Linked DNA regions of Arabidopsis thaliana. The protein of the gene in region 1 interacts with the protein of each later gene in a pairwise test. Each region holds a gene or a part of one and is shown in the gene's direction. Other genes may lie near its edges.

What was found. The genes of interacting proteins can lie anywhere in the genome.
Region 2: the proteins of ANN6 (region 1) and GONST1 interact in a protein complementation assay, tested with the Arabidopsis thaliana proteins (one large-scale study listed by BioGRID).

What each region holds. Positions count from the first base shown.
Region 1 is NC_003076.8:3,205,286-3,213,320, reverse strand, and holds ANN6 (annexin 6), read left to right. Parts: upstream 1-4,490; 5' UTR 4,491-4,536; coding exon 4,537-4,612; intron 4,613-5,294; coding exon 5,295-5,440; intron 5,441-5,515; coding exon 5,516-5,734; intron 5,735-5,825; coding exon 5,826-6,341; 3' UTR 6,342-6,453; downstream 6,454-8,035. Other genes in the region: ASN3 (asparagine synthetase 3), read left to right, coding at 1-78, 175-387; ANNAT7 (annexin 7), read left to right, coding at 1,925-2,000, 2,400-2,545, 2,643-2,861, 3,074-3,583; AT5G10210 (nitric oxide synthase-interacting protein), read right to left, coding at 6,492-7,085.
Region 2 is NC_003071.7:5,686,015-5,694,049, reverse strand, and holds GONST1 (golgi nucleotide sugar transporter 1), read left to right. Parts: upstream 1-3,278; 5' UTR 3,279-3,519; intron 3,520-3,732; 5' UTR 3,733-3,746; coding exon 3,747-4,096; exon of another isoform or gene 4,097-4,340; coding exon of another isoform or gene 4,341-4,423; coding exon 4,424-4,553; intron 4,554-5,060; coding exon 5,061-5,159; intron 5,160-5,707; coding exon 5,708-5,862; intron 5,863-5,944; coding exon 5,945-6,061; coding exon of another isoform or gene 6,062-6,065; exon of another isoform or gene 6,066-6,214; coding exon 6,215-6,312; intron 6,313-6,413; coding exon 6,414-6,466; 3' UTR 6,467-6,734; downstream 6,735-8,035. Other genes in the region: AT2G13660 (uncharacterized protein), read left to right, coding at 1,161-1,368, 1,433-1,758; AT2G13640 (Transcription factor IIS family protein), read left to right, coding at 6,760-7,914. UniProt on the Arabidopsis thaliana protein: Involved in the import of GDP-mannose from the cytoplasm into the Golgi lumen. Required for the luminal synthesis of a variety of plant cell surface components. Is required for the correct mannosylation of the glycosylinositol phosphoceramides (GIPC).

The sequences.
Region 1 (8,035 bases):
TTTGTCTTCCCTGATAACACACCTTTGACAAAAGAAGCTTACTACTACAGAACCATCTTTGAAAAGTTCTTCCCTAAGGTAATGATTTTCATCTGCATAACTACTTGGTCTTCTTTAATTGTCTTGATCTTTGCTCAGATTTGTTTAACGGATATATAACTGATAAATGAGCAGAGTGCTGCTAGAGCAACTGTACCAGGAGGTCCAAGTGTGGCATGTAGCACAGCAAAAGCTGTGGAATGGGACGCAGCTTGGTCACAGAATCTTGACCCATCAGGTCGTGCGGCTCTTGGAGTTCATGTTTCAGCTTATGGGGAAGATAAAACCGAAGATTCTCGTCCCGAGAAGCTACAGAAACTAGCAGAGAAGACTCCAGCCATTGTTTGAGGATAAACAAACAAGGTTTCAGCTAATGTTGAATCGTGCAATACTCTTATTGTCTCAAAGACAATAGATATCCTCTTCTATAGGTTCTAAAAAGGCTTTCTTTTTTTCTTGTTTTCTGGGGTTCTTTGGATGTGTACCTAATAAGTTCCTGGTGAATTTCTGTGTTTAGTGTTATTAGACAATCCATGAAAGCTTGATACTTCAGATTATGAACGTTATTTTTCATGAATCCGATTCTTTCTTTCTTTTTCTATCTCAAAAGCTATTTTCTTTGTTCTGTCAAAAAGTGTGATTATCATCAGTCTATATTTTGATTCACTTTGGTTTTCTATAGTAATTCAAACTTCAAAGTACACTGTAATTGGAATTGAAACGATACAGAGAAGAAGGTTTAGGTTGGTTCATGCAAATTAAACGGATCTTTATAGAAGAAAACTGGCGTTGGCTATTGTGGGAATAGTACCTTTCTATTAAAGTTATATTGTTTAAGTGTTCTACTATCATCACAAGGACTCTGTGGCCCAATGGATAAGGCGCTGGTCTACGAAACCAGAGATTCTGGGTTCGATCCCCAGCAGAGTCGTTGTTCTTTTATTTAATCTTCCTTTTAATTTTTTTCGCGCCAGATCTGTTTTTACGGTCTAATGAAAATTTGAAATTCATTACAATTCTTATAACTTTCTTGTGGGTTGTTTATCCATAACATATTTTATAACATATAAACTACACCAATTAGATATTTGACGTTACGATTCTTTTAATTAGTCGATAATCAGTATTTGGTTGCCAATAAAATAACTGCTCCTTAAACGTTAAGCTTAGCACTAACCACGTGATTCTTGGAGTTAAACAAGAACAAATGACATAAGCAATGAAAATCTTGTTTTGTCTCCGGAAAATTCCTATAATTATAAACTTGTCACATGGACCTTTAAAGGTCTATTTAATATATAGCTTAAAATAATTAATTATTGAGTAATCAAATTTTTAAAAAAATCTAATCAAAGTTTTTTTCCAAAAAAAAAATTAAAACAACAATATTATGTTAATAAATATAAATCATAGATATCCACTAAACATAATTATAAAAGTAAAAAAAAAAAAAGTTGTGTATACTCTTCATATGTCAAGGCCAAACTCAAACGTGTCATTCACAATCAAAATCATAAGTTTCTGTCCCACTCTATATATATAAATACTTCCCTTGAAATTTATTCAACTTAATTAAATTCATTTTCTGCCAGCTATCTTGATTTCTTTCCTTTTAACTAAAATAGATAGGCTTTTAATACTTCACTTATATAGTCAACAAATTTACTATTCAATAATATTTTCAGTTGATTTACTACCTTTTCCATTCATTTAATTCATTAAAAATTACTAAGTCTCTTTATCAAAATACATCTTTATACAAAAACTTTTTTATTGAAACTTTAATTGCCATCTCATTATTTAAGTAAGACAACACGAGCTCTATCTACCTCATCATCTAGACAACAAAAAACAAGAACATACAGAAATTTCACTTGTTCGAAAAATGGCTTCTCTCAAAGTTCCCGCCACTGTTCCTCTTCCCGAAGAAGACGCTGAGCAACTCTACAAAGCCTTTAAAGGTTTATGTCCTTCTCTATACCCCTTCATTAATCTTTTGGTTATAACTAGTCTAGCATTCGCCTTCTTCGATTGAATCCTCTATCAGTTTGGTTGGTCATAGCGTAATCTATTTCAACTATACCCTCTTATCTGATCGATCATGTGTCTGTATATATTCGTTGATCTATATAGTATATAGATCTAGTTTGGTTTATGGTATGGATTTATTTAATTTGGTTAAAATTACTCCTATCATCAAAAATAATCTATTAGTATTTAATAGACCTTTCAAAAATTGATGAAACGAGATAAATTTTACTAGAATTATATATCTTTTTCAATCTAATACTGATGAATGATTTCAAACATGATTCTGACTCTATTTTTCTTTAATGTAATTGTGAATTTGTCTAATGCAGGATGGGGAACCAATGAGAGGATGATCATATCAATCTTGGCTCACAGAAATGCAACGCAACGTAGTTTCATTCGTGCCGTTTATGCTGCTAACTACAATAAGGATCTTCTCAAGGAATTAGACAGAGAGCTTTCCGGTGACTTTGAGGTTTTAATTTGAGACAACATCTTTATATATTCGTCTTCTTTTGGTTTTAGTCTACTGATCTGTTTAACTATGTTTTCTTTTTTTGTAAACAAAACAGCGAGCTGTGATGTTGTGGACTTTTGAACCAGCGGAGAGAGATGCTTATTTGGCAAAAGAATCTACCAAAATGTTCACCAAAAACAATTGGGTTCTTGTCGAAATCGCTTGTACTAGATCTGCTCTTGAACTCTTTAATGCCAAGCAAGCATACCAAGCCCGCTACAAGACCTCCCTCGAGGAAGACGTCGCATACCACACATCTGGAGACATTCGAAAGGTATTATATAATTAATTATGTGAAAGTTTCATGAGCTTAATTCCATCTGAGATATCCAATAAAATCAAATGTATCTAGTTCATCTATTTTGTATACTAGATGAAATCTCATATGTTTATTGATGTAATTAAGATTCCTAGCTAACAAACTCAGTTCGTATAACTATGTCAAGAATGCATATAAATTTGTGACATATGTTTTTGTTTATGCAGCTCTTGGTACCTCTTGTGAGCACTTTTAGGTACGATGGAGATGAAGTGAACATGACGTTAGCTAGGTCCGAGGCTAAGATACTTCACGAGAAGATCAAGGAAAAGGCTTATGCTGATGATGATCTCATAAGAATCTTGACAACCAGGAGCAAAGCACAAATCAGCGCAACTCTCAATCACTACAAAAACAATTTCGGAACTTCCATGAGCAAATACCTAAAGGAGGATTCGGAAAACGAATACATTCAATTGCTCAAAGCCGTGATCAAATGCTTGACATATCCAGAGAAGTATTTTGAGAAAGTTCTACGTCAAGCCATCAACAAATTGGGAACAGATGAGTGGGGACTAACGAGAGTGGTCACTACACGAGCAGAGTTTGACATGGAACGGATCAAAGAGGAATATATACGTAGAAACAGTGTTCCTCTTGATCGAGCCATTGCTAAAGACACTCATGGTGACTATGAGGATATACTTCTCGCTCTTCTCGGACATGACCATGCTTGAAATAACATTTGCAAGTTTTGTTTAAGAAAAAAAACTAAATTTTATCGCTTTGTGTTTAATAAAACAGTTGTGGTTGGACTTGCAACTTGGTCATGTTAAGAATTTAGTGTCTTCAGTTTCATTTGTCGTCGATGTTTTCAGTTATTTTTTTTTTTAAATCTAAAAATTATAAAACCATATCAAAAATTATTATTGATCTATTTATAATTAATTTAGTATAAACTAATGAGTTATAATTTTCCCCTTAATTATATGGTTTTAAAATTAAAGCTAAACCCATACTTAATACATCTTGTTAAAATGAACAATATTGGTTCTAATGTTTTGTCCGCCATGTGTTATAATCCATGTCCAAATAATGAAATATCCAAATAATGAAATTAATTAAGGAATATGCGTGTATTATATAACAGAAAAAATAAATAAATTAAAAGTTAAATTTCGGTACCTATGTAATCCCATATTTAAGCTGTTTAAAGTGCATTTAAAATCCAGCTTTATGACAAAAACCCAAAACATGATTCTTGTTTTTTCATTTCTGTTCACTGTATACAGCCTGTAATTGTATTAATAAAATCTCTCATTTTACTAATTTACTTAAATTGTTAAGTCTATTTTAAAACAAAATTGATTAATAATTAACAAAATTTGAGATTTCAGTTCATTATTTAAGAAAATGTGCAATTTCCATTTAATATTCAGCTTTATGACAAAAAAATGCAAAACATTATACTTGTTTTATCAATTCTATCCACTGTAGACAGCCTGTATTAATAATTTTTTCCTCTTTTACTGATTTACATAGATTGCTAAATCTAATTTTTAACAAAAATAATTAATAAAATATAAAAAATTGGGATATCATTTCATTATTTAAGACAGTGTGCATGTTCCTCGTCCCACATTTTCTTCGTCTCATCTAGAGAGCTAGAGAAATATTCAGTGGTCGGAGAATGGCGTCTCTCAAAATTCCAGCAAATATTCCTCTTCCCGAAGAAGACTCCGAGCAGCTCCACAAGGCATTCAAAGGTTTTCATGATCCATCCCTTCATTGTTAGATTGATTTAGTAAAAGTTAAATACTAGGCCTTCACATTCATGCTTTGATTGAATCATTTGCATTTTGATATTATTTAATTGGGTTGATTATCAATAGTTCAATCTATTATCATGACAGGTCTGATCTACTGATCTAGCTTGCTGGTTTGGTTGATGACACGTATATAGGTTTAATTTTAAGAAGTGGATGATAAGTTAGCTCTTTTTTATTTCGTTTTTCAAATGATTCTTAGGAAGTCTTAACTTCGTGAAGTTTTGTGGTTATACTCCATTGCATGATTCTTTTGTTACGGTGCAAAATTGTGTGACATATTATTTACTCTTTTGCTGATTTTGGATGCAATTGATTTTATGTTGGAGCGTTTCCTGACCGTTTGGTTTGTAATCGACGATTAGACAACTCTTTTAAACAGATTAACTTGTTGCTTTCGTAACAATTTTTTTATTCAGATTTAAACCCAAAAAAAAAATTCTAATAATCTTCTAAGATTTTTTCAAGCTTGGTTTTTTTTCTACTAGCGAACATCAGCTTTCTTGTATATTTACAGTTAATTTCTAACTGTCGTAAAATTTTGGTTTGGTTTAGTTAGGTTTTGTTACATACTCTCTATCTGACTAAACTTGGGTTTGAAATTTGTTTTTGTGTGGCGCAGGATGGGGAACTAATGAAGGGATGATCATATCAATTTTGGCTCATAGAAACGCAACGCAACGCAGTTTCATTCGTGCCGTTTATGCTGCTAACTACAATAAGGATCTTCTCAAGGAATTAGACGGAGAGCTTTCTGGTGACTTTGAGGTTTGTCAAAACTAAAAGATACAAAATCTATATTTCTTCATCTTATTTTGAACATCTTACTTTGCTTGAAAACAGAGAGTTGTGATGTTGTGGACTCTTGATCCAACGGAGAGAGATGCGTATTTGGCCAATGAATCTACCAAATTGTTCACCAAAAACATTTGGGTCCTAGTTGAAATCGCTTGTACTAGACCTTCTCTTGAGTTTTTCAAGACCAAGCAAGCATACCATGTTCGCTACAAGACCTCTCTCGAGGAAGATGTTGCATACCATACATCTGGAAATATCCGAAAGGTAGTGAAAGATTTATGTATATCATTCTTTAAACCAATTAGTAAGTTTCTGATGATATGTTGTTTTGTTTTGACCACTTGTAAAAATGCAGCTATTGGTTCCTCTTGTGAGCACCTTCAGGTACGATGGAAATGCTGATGAGGTCAACGTGAAGCTGGCTAGATCCGAAGCTAAGACACTTCACAAGAAGATCACTGAGAAGGCTTACACTGATGAAGATCTCATCAGAATCTTGACAACAAGGAGCAAAGCACAGATCAATGCAACACTCAATCACTTCAAGGACAAGTTTGGAAGTTCCATTAACAAGTTTCTCAAAGAAGATTCGAACGATGATTATGTTCAATTACTCAAAACCGCGATCAAATGCTTGACATATCCAGAGAAGTACTTTGAGAAGGTTCTACGTCGAGCCATCAACAGGATGGGAACAGACGAGTGGGCACTTACTAGAGTGGTCACTACAAGAGCAGAGGTCGACCTGGAGCGGATCAAAGAAGAATACTTACGCAGGAACAGTGTTCCTCTTGATCGAGCCATTGCTAATGACACTTCTGGTGACTACAAGGATATGCTTCTCGCCCTTCTTGGACATGACCATGCTTGAAACAACATCATCGTTTCATAGTCTTTTATAAGACAGTTGTTATTTGTTTTTCATTTTCTTTGAACTTTGGTCCTTAGTTTTTACATTTTACTGCAACAACTTATTCTGGTTTCTTTGAATCATCTCTTCTTTAAATTTTATTCTTACAAACTAAATCCCAGCTAACGCACAAGCTACAACAAAAGCTTCATAATCTACGCAGTTACATGTTCTACAATCTTTACACTCACAAAGATCTTCCACTCTCTTAGTGTTCACGATTTTTGAAGCTTGCACTTTTAAAGCTATCTTCAACAAAAGAGGTTTATGCTTATCACAATCTTCCAGAACGTGATCTTTTGTCTCATCCATCACTACAAATCTCTCTATTTCCATCCCATCAGTCTCTATAACCGATTTCCAAAAAATCTTTCCTCTACCCACCAACTCTGATTTCGACCACTTCTTCAAAAACGGCGTCGTTTTCCTTCTCCGTAGTTCGAAAACAACACTTTGTTGCTTCAATTCCTCGACCGCGGTTTCGTTCCCTTGGCACTCCAGACCGAATGATTGGTTCCAGGAAATGACCTCACAGTCTGATCTCGAACGGATCTCTGGAGTGTTTAGTTCAATCTTACTGTTATTCCCTGCATGGAGATAGAACCTAACGAAGAGAGTGGTTGGCGATGACTTGAGCTCTACGTTTCTAGCTTCCACGATTTTCACTTCAAATTTAAGGGAACGAATGTTTTCAACGATACCCATTTGCTTGAAAATTTCGAATCGAACCAAGAATATATTATTTACCAAGGTAATAACAATTAGAGCAAATTTAAGAGCAGTGAGTTCCTTTGTGATGAATATGTGCATGAACAAATTCTCACTAGCTATTTATATAAATCTATGGGGAATGTTCGAGGAAAGTTTACACTAGATTTCCACATTGTACTTATTAAAATATTCTAAATTTCTAATCATGTTTTTAACTTTTTATTTTTTTCTAATCATGTTAGTGAAGGCTTAATATTTTAGAAATTAAAACTCTTGAGCATCTCAAAAGACCAAGGGTCGATTTTAATAATGACTCTTGCCCATAGTTTTGGGAGATAATTAGATAGATACGTAGGATCACCATATAAAGAATTTTTATAATTTGCAAAAAGAAATTAAGGTGTGCCATTTTGAAGACTTGATCATTATTATATTACATTTCGCGTGGACACATCCAATAGCCGAAAGTTGTTTTGGAACAGAGTCAACAGAATCAAATTAAATAAGAACAAATTATTAGTAGATACATTCGATTGCATATATTAAAATGAGTATGGAATTTGACTCAAAAGATATAATTACAAAAAATATTAGCCACGAATCCCATGATCAATTGTAGTCATACAAGATAGACTTTATTACATAAGAAAATCTCCAAAAAAACTCTTATCACACAATTCATTGTTGACAAAAGTTTTGTATACTAATAATATCATCTATTAAATTTTACAAAAACAATTTTAGTTTCAACTGGTTTTAAATTATAGAAAGAACAAATCATTGCTAATAAGCATAGTCATAAACTCATAATCATGCAGAAATTGTGTTTATTTTGATCATCTCAAGGGTAATGGAAATGTCAATTTAGGTTACTTTCGTTACTATTTACTTTTTTATCAAACACTTTCGTTACTATTTAAAAAAATCTAAATCCTAATACTAAC
Region 2 (8,035 bases), on another chromosome or scaffold:
GTTTTTAGTATGTATGAATCTTTGTAGACATTGCTTTATATGGTATGATACCATTGGTATCATATCATTGCATACTCGATTTTGTATATGCATGGATTAGCAAGTAGACATTGTTTGAAGAATGAACAACAATTAAGGAAATTCTCAAAATGCGTGACATCCAATCTAGAAGAACTATGTGTATTAAAAGTTTCTGAAATTAAATTCTAAACTGACTCATCTTTGATTGTGTTTATTCTTTCTAACGAAAACCATTATCCATTCGAACATTTTTTTTAACATCTTATTCATTCATTGATTTGAAAATTTATACAAGTTTATATATGTGACGAACAGACGAACAAAAAAAAAACTTTGATTTAGATGCTTAACACGTAGAGTTATGCATAAATTCCTATGTTTAAATCCCATGTACCAGAATTATAGCCTACTATCATTGTTTAATCCCATGGAAAAGCACACTCTGTTTTAGATTCAAAAATCACATGTACCAGAATCATAGCCTACTATCATTGTTGATCTGTTATTGCTTGAATCAATTAGTAAAATTTCATGTTAAGCACATTTTTTTTTTTCTGAGAACTTCATTGAAAAAGTCCACCATTGGACTATAAAAAAAAAAAAAAAAAAAAACATAAGCTCTCTTAACATAATTTGAATAAAATTGTATTAAAAAAATAGAGAGAGCCCATAGGGAGGCTCTCTCTATTGGAGATGGTCTTACATGGACAAAATATGGTGCATATGTAAGCTTTGGTTGTAATATATTTATCATGAAATATTTTAAGTTGAAGGGAACTCCATTTGTTTCTTTTCTTTTAAGATTTATTTTGATCAAAGGAAAAAATATATTACTGGATTCGAATGGTGAAATCAAGTTGCCAGACTTTTTTTGAAGTTGGCAGACTTTGTGATGGCCAAACTTGTAAGTGTAAAATAAGGAGACCAAAAGAGAGATGTGGAGGGTAATACTATTTCTAAGCTTATAAAGTGAGAAGTAAAAATAGTAAGTGGTGTTTTTTTTTCTTTTTTTCTTTTTTGTCGGCCTAATATGTTTTATAAAAGCCCAAATGGGCAGATATTCGGTACAGAAGATGGCCAAAAGTTAGCCCACTAATTGCAAAACACAAGATAAGAAAAATAAAAAAGAGATACGTGTTATGCAATGTGGGATGTTGAGAGAAGAAAAAGGTTTCGCCGTCACCGACTCATCATCACCGGAAACTTCCTTCATCAGCTGTCACCGACTCATCATCACCGGAAACTTCCTTCACCAGCCGGCAGATCAACTCAGTCCTCCAAGAAACCTCTATCTCTGCCTTCGATTGTACCTACTCGCCTTTTGCCATAGATCACCAGAAGAGATTGGTTGGACCTAAACTTGATCACGAGAATTTGTAACCTCAGCCGATTAGCCCGAAATATTCATCAGAACAAGACGAAGACTCCAATTCTTCATACTCCGTCCCAATCAACCGCATCAACTTGATCAATCCACCAAGGAGAACCGATGCTCTAAACAAGCCCTTTTGGCGGAGCAAGGAATTACCTTCACTTGGGAGAAGAATCAAGCACTCAATGAACAAGGATCCATTTGATGACTTCTGGAATTTTCATCTTCCCGAAATTGGAAGAGTTAATTTGAGCCTGCAAAAGGCAACCAAAAGAGAAAGAAAGAAAGTAAATCCGAACAAGTCGGAAAGAGAAACCGGCATCAAAACAGGAAATCTAAAACACAAACCAAAAAGCTCTGATTGAAGACGGAGATTACAAAAGAAAAACAGAGCTCCCTCTCTGTAAAAGATATGAAAGAGAGAAGAGATAGAAAACTCTTTTCATTAAATGTTATAATACGAAAATGATATTCAACTATTTGTTCTCAAGAACAAGATGAGTGTCGTTAACATTAGAGTGTGAATATATTTTTGTTATAAAAATTGTCATGCGTTACGGAAAAAACAAAATGGTCATGCGTTTGGCTACACTGGTTCTTTTGGGCCTAAAGGATTTTATTTTACGTGCTCGAGTAACTTGGGCTATGGCTAGTGGATTTAGAAGTGGACTGTGTCAAAGAGTCAAAATAGATAGGCTAAAATTTCTGGTGGAAAGAATTAAGCCGAAAGGTCAACGGTATGGTACAAAGCAAAAAGGCAAATGGACCATTATTGCCAAACTTTTATTTTTATTCATTCAGATTTTGTGTCAAATTGCCAAGTTTAGAGACACATAACAGTAGTACACTTTTGCACTGACTATCAATTTAAATACGAATTCTCACTGATTAAACTAATTAAGACGCATCATTATAAATTTCTTAAATCATAAACACTAGAATCCAAAATCGATTTTCATTTTTCCCTCTTTTCTTTTTTGAATTCTTTCCTTTTTTTGATTCCTTCTTCTTCTTTAAATTCAAAATAATCTCTTATCTCTATGTCGATTGATGGTGCGAAAGAGAAAAAATTGTGCCTCAATTTGCTTAATTAACGAAAATTCGTGATTAAATTGAAAATCAACATAAAAATTGAGAATTTAAATTACCAGATACAGAACTCATAGTTTAAATCAACAAAAATAGTAAACTACTGATTTAAATGACATTTTTCCAAAAAAGCAAATTGTACAACATATTGTGTGATTTGGACCATATGGTACCAAACCATTATAACTAAATTAGATAATTTATGTTTATATTATTATTTCTTCTCAATATATAAGAGATTTATATAATAACCAATAACTATAAAATGATGAAAATTAACAAAATAACATCATAAGCTCAATACCTTAGGAGAGAACATATTTAACGTGTAACTGTCAAAGTTACTCCAAACAAAGTTTGTGTTCTTTTTTTATAAATAACAATGTTTGTGTTGAATGACCTCAATGAAGAGATTTGTTTGATAGTATTAAATAGCTAATATTTTCTTAAATTTTAGTATAGTTATGACATATTTGTATATGGCCTATTTGTATATGATCAGTATTATTCTGTTTTATTGTCTTAAAAATGATCAATATTATTCTGTATTTATAGATAAAAGGCTATTTTTCGCTTTGGAATAATTTTTAATTTCAAGAAATACATACTAGTTTTATTTATTCATTTAGACATGTTTGACATGAGTAGTTGATGAGTTTGTCAATTTTGAAATACCCACTGAGAAAATTTATTTTGTTTTACATAATGGAACTTCCTCTAACTTACGAAACTCTTAATTTTAATATAAATAAACAAACGAAAGAAACGAAAATTGGTCAGTTTTTTTTTTTTTTTTCTCTTCTGGTCAATGCCATCTCTCTCCCTCGTCTTTTCAGTTTCCTAATTTCCATTGTTTCTTCAAAACAACATTTCACAGATAGCTCCACCACGACCTGACGAAGATCCTCCGCGTGAGCAAGTTTCATGTTCTTCTTCTTCTTCCGATTCATAGTTTTTTTTTTTTCCGGTAACTTGTCATCAATTAGATCTCGTCCGAAGTTGAATCTTTAGTTCGCGAGCTTTTGGACAACTTCGAGGTAAAATTCGTTATTCTCTACACAACTTCCGATTAACGCTTGTGTAGCTACTCTCAACTTTGCTGCTTGATCCAATCTCGTCTTAAGTTGATTTTAGCTGCGAATTGGAACCGAATTGGTTTTTATGTAAAACTGTTACTTTTTTTGTGCGTGTATTGTTAAGAATGATGGATCTAGTTATATAAGCTTGAAAGAAGTTAGTTTCTTTGGTAGGTCTTAGCTTTGCAATGAAATTGTACGAACACGATGGAGTTGATTTAGAAGATGGGAAGACAGTAAAATCCGGAGGAGATAAACCAATTCCAAGAAAGATACATAACCGGGCTTTGTTATCCGGTTTAGCTTATTGCATTTCATCATGCAGTATGATACTTGTCAACAAGTTTGTTCTCTCCAGCTACAACTTCAATGCTGGGATCTTCCTTATGTTATACCAGAACTTTGTCTCGGTGATCATTGTGGTTGGTTTGAGTTTAATGGGTCTAATAACTACTGAACCACTTACTTTGAGGTTGATGAAGGTCTGGTTTCCAGTGAATGTCATCTTTGTTGGTATGCTTATCACAAGCATGTTTAGGTAAGAATGTGTTTCTACACCTTTATTTTGTGTTGGTTTGTTGAATTATATATCGATGCTCTCTTAATTCTCAAGCCTATAAGATTACTAAATTAGTAAAGTCAACTTTTTGGAGTACTAAAGGTAGTTATAAGAATCTGTACATCATCTTTACAGCAGATCGAGGATTAAATAACGTGTAGACACTTAGGTGAAACAGATAGATATTTTGGATTTACTTCACAGTAGGTCGAGATATATAGATATGTATCGTATATGTGTATGTAGGCGGTGTTTGAAGAGCAGATTGAACTTGATTGTCTATTTGAATTACATTTTCTTTGACAGTTTGAAATACATCAATGTAGCAATGGTCACTGTCCTGAAGAATGTCACTAATGTGATAACTGCAGTTGGTGAGATGTATCTGTTCAACAAGCAACATGACAACAGAGTGTGGGCTGCTCTCTTCTTAATGGTATGTTTGTCTGCTTTAAAAGTATTTCTAACTGATTCTGTAAATTGTACCTGAGAAAAAACTATTCTCAAGGAACCTATTTCAAGCTGCACATAGATAGCATTTTGATTGGAGTTTTTGAAAGATATCCTTGTCAAACAACGATTCTATACTGTTTTGGATTTGGTTTTCTCTTGTTTTCTCAAAGCACTCTCTGATCATCAACCTTAACCAATAAAGTCTAAAGCATATCTTCTTATTGATAAGTGATCCACCCTTTTGTGTGCGTACACAGTTACACTTGTCGTAGCGGCTTTCAGTGGTGTGGCATAGCCTAACCTTTCAATACTGTTGGAGATACATGTTTTTAACTGCTTCCACAATTAGTCTGCCAGGGAAATGTAATCATGTTTTTTTGTCACGGCTACTCATTGTTATATGTATATTCTATTTGTTTTTGTATAGATCTTGAATAAGTAGAGGATAAAGTTTTGATTAACCTGTGCTTCTTTCGTCCTTCATTTGCAGATAATTTCCGCAGTTTCTGGAGGAATAACAGACCTATCATTCAATGCTGTTGGCTATGCTTGGCAGATTGCTAATTGCTTCTTAACTGCATCGTACTCGGTGAGTAAACATTTGATCATTTGTGTTTTCTTTTCCCAAAATGTTAGGAGTCATTTGAAACAATAAACACATATATGAAAAGGAGATCACTTAAAAACCATGCTTTCATGTCGAGTATTACATGCTGTTTGGTTAAGACTAAGTCAATAAACTAAACAGCCTTCCCTATAATCATTACGATACTGGCTTGCTTTTGAGTTTTAAGATGCTCACGAGATACCGAGATTCTGTTACCTTAGAAAATTTTATAGCTTGCAATCCATTGTCACTGGTAACCTGAGTACTTCACTCGTTGTTAGAAGTAGGAATAGCATGTTAAAGAGAAGACTTTGGGCAAAGAATGCAAATTGACACCATCAACTTCTCAGTTCTCACTAGGTTTTCCATTGCTGGGTCAAAAAACGAGAGTGTTAGACTGTTAGGTTCCCATAAATTTATCCCTATATCCTGTCAACAAAAACCAAGTGTTTGGCTTGTTAGCTAGGCTACTATACTCTTATAAAATTTGCCACCACTTTTGACTTGCCTTATATTTTGTTGTTTTGCAGCTGACTTTGAGAAAGACCATGGATACGGCCAAGCAGGTTACTCAATCTGGAAACTTGAACGAGTTCTCCATGGTCTTGCTTAATAACACACTTTCATTACCACTTGGGCTTCTTCTTTCTTATTTCTTCAACGAGATGGATTATCTCTATCAAACGTGAGTTCCTGTCCTTATTTCTGTGTCAATGGAAAATGGTTTGTGTCATCTGAAAACAAAATGGTGTATTATATTTGTGCAGGCCACTTCTACGATTACCAAGTTTCTGGATGGTCATGACACTTAGTGGACTTCTAGGGCTTGCCATTAGCTTTACTTCAATGTGGTTTCTTCATCAAACTGGAGCAACAACATACAGGTAGCAAATTAGAGAGAGATAGAGCAATTTCAAAACTTTGCTTAAGAGAGTGTTGCTGTCCCCTAGCCTTCTCCATATATCCCTTTCCTATGTTTGCTTCTTTGTTGGTTCAGTCCTAACTAGATACATCTTTCGCTTTATTCAAAATCATAGCCTGGTGGGATCTCTAAACAAGATACCTCTATCCATCGCGGGGATCGTTCTTTTCAATGTACCGACCAGTTTGCAGAACTCAGCAAGCATACTCTTTGGTAAGCGTTCTCTCGATCAGTTCCCTTTTCCAACTTCTTGAAGGAACACATATCGCTTGTGTTGTGTATTATTATTAAACCTGAGGTGGCCTAATTTGCAGGTCTTGTCGCTGGAGTTGTATTTGCTAGAGCCAAAATGAGGGAGAAGTCCTAAAATACTAACCATCTACAACACATTTTACTACATCAATCAGTATAGGACATGGCAAAAGCTGATTAAAGCAGAGCAATGAGTTTATAACCTCAGAATTCTATGCACGTTATGTGTTTCTTGTAAAAGCTTTCGCCACTCTACTTGTATAATGTTAGTAAAATATTAATGAATGTATCGATTCTTGAGTGGTAAGAGAAGTGTTGGTTTATGTGTTTCTTCGTTTTTACCAATTTTCCAGTAAAGAAATTCAATGGTATGAGATTTCAACATAAACTGAAAACCCTAGCCACCTGATGATCAAGAACGACGGAAAGATGATGAGAGTGAGAATTGCGAAGGAGAGATCTGACTTATGCGACTTGACTGCTGCTGCAATTAAGGCTACTTACAATACACGGAACCCATGCGAAGTCGAGCGATGCATCGATGTGTTGAATCACTTGAAGTCTCTGTCTCTTTCCGTGAAGGATATACGATTGTCTGAATCAATAGTTAAACTGGAGACTTTGAGAAGTCATAGGAACCCTAGAATCCGTAAGGAAGCCCAAGCCTTGTTTCATTCATGGTTGAAGACATTCTACGCACATGGAAGCGACAACTCTTTCACAGCTGCTCTTACCAAAGATCGTCTGAAGATGAAGAAGCATGTTCTAAAAATGTGTTCGGAGTTGAAGAAGAAAGAAGAACCGGGAACTATGGCTCGTCAAGTCACTGCCTTTTCGGTGTTGAAGAATAAAGAAGACGAGAGATCTCAGACGACTGTTGAAGCAGTAGAGAGTAAGACAACGATCAAACTCTCGGAGTTGAATAGGAAAGAAGATCAGAGATCATTAACTCGTGAAACAGAGAAGAATAAAGCAAGGAACAGCTTTTTGGCTTTGAAACAGAAAGAGGATCATAGATCTGAGACTTGTGTCGAGAAATATTTTAAGAAAGAGACAAAGACCAATCTAAAGCAGCTCAACATGAAGACAAGGCGTGTCTCTTTGGAGGATGTTACAACGAAGAAGCCACATGAAGATGGTTCATTGATAAAGAAGACTAAAACAGAAAAGGAGCTGAAGAAGAAGAAAGTGGATGAGATGGTGAAGTTGTTCGAAGCAGCAAAGAAAGCTGCTGATGTGGCCAACGCTAAGGGTGTTCTCTCAGGTAAACCAGAGGTGTCTCGCTGCATTGACGCTCTCTCGTTATTGATGAAGATCAACATTACTCCAAAACCAAAAGAACCAAGGAGGATGATGGATAAGCTTGAGGGACTTACAAAACATAAAGATCGCAAGATTTGCCATGTTGCATCAGCCCTTCTTCACCTTTGGAGACAGAGGATCAGAGAACAAGAACGTAAAAAGTCTGTTACCAAGGCTTCATCAAAGACGAGGAAACTTAGTTATGTGAAGATCATATGGCTTGAACAAATCAAAGTCTCTTGTGGATTCAAAAGGTTCTGAACCATTTTATTGAGATCGAATATAAGTGTGAGGAAGATATAAACTCATTGTAAGCATGGTTGAGTGCTGAGCAAGTATACTGGTGAATTTCTCGTATGTTATGTAGGGTTCCACATTGGAA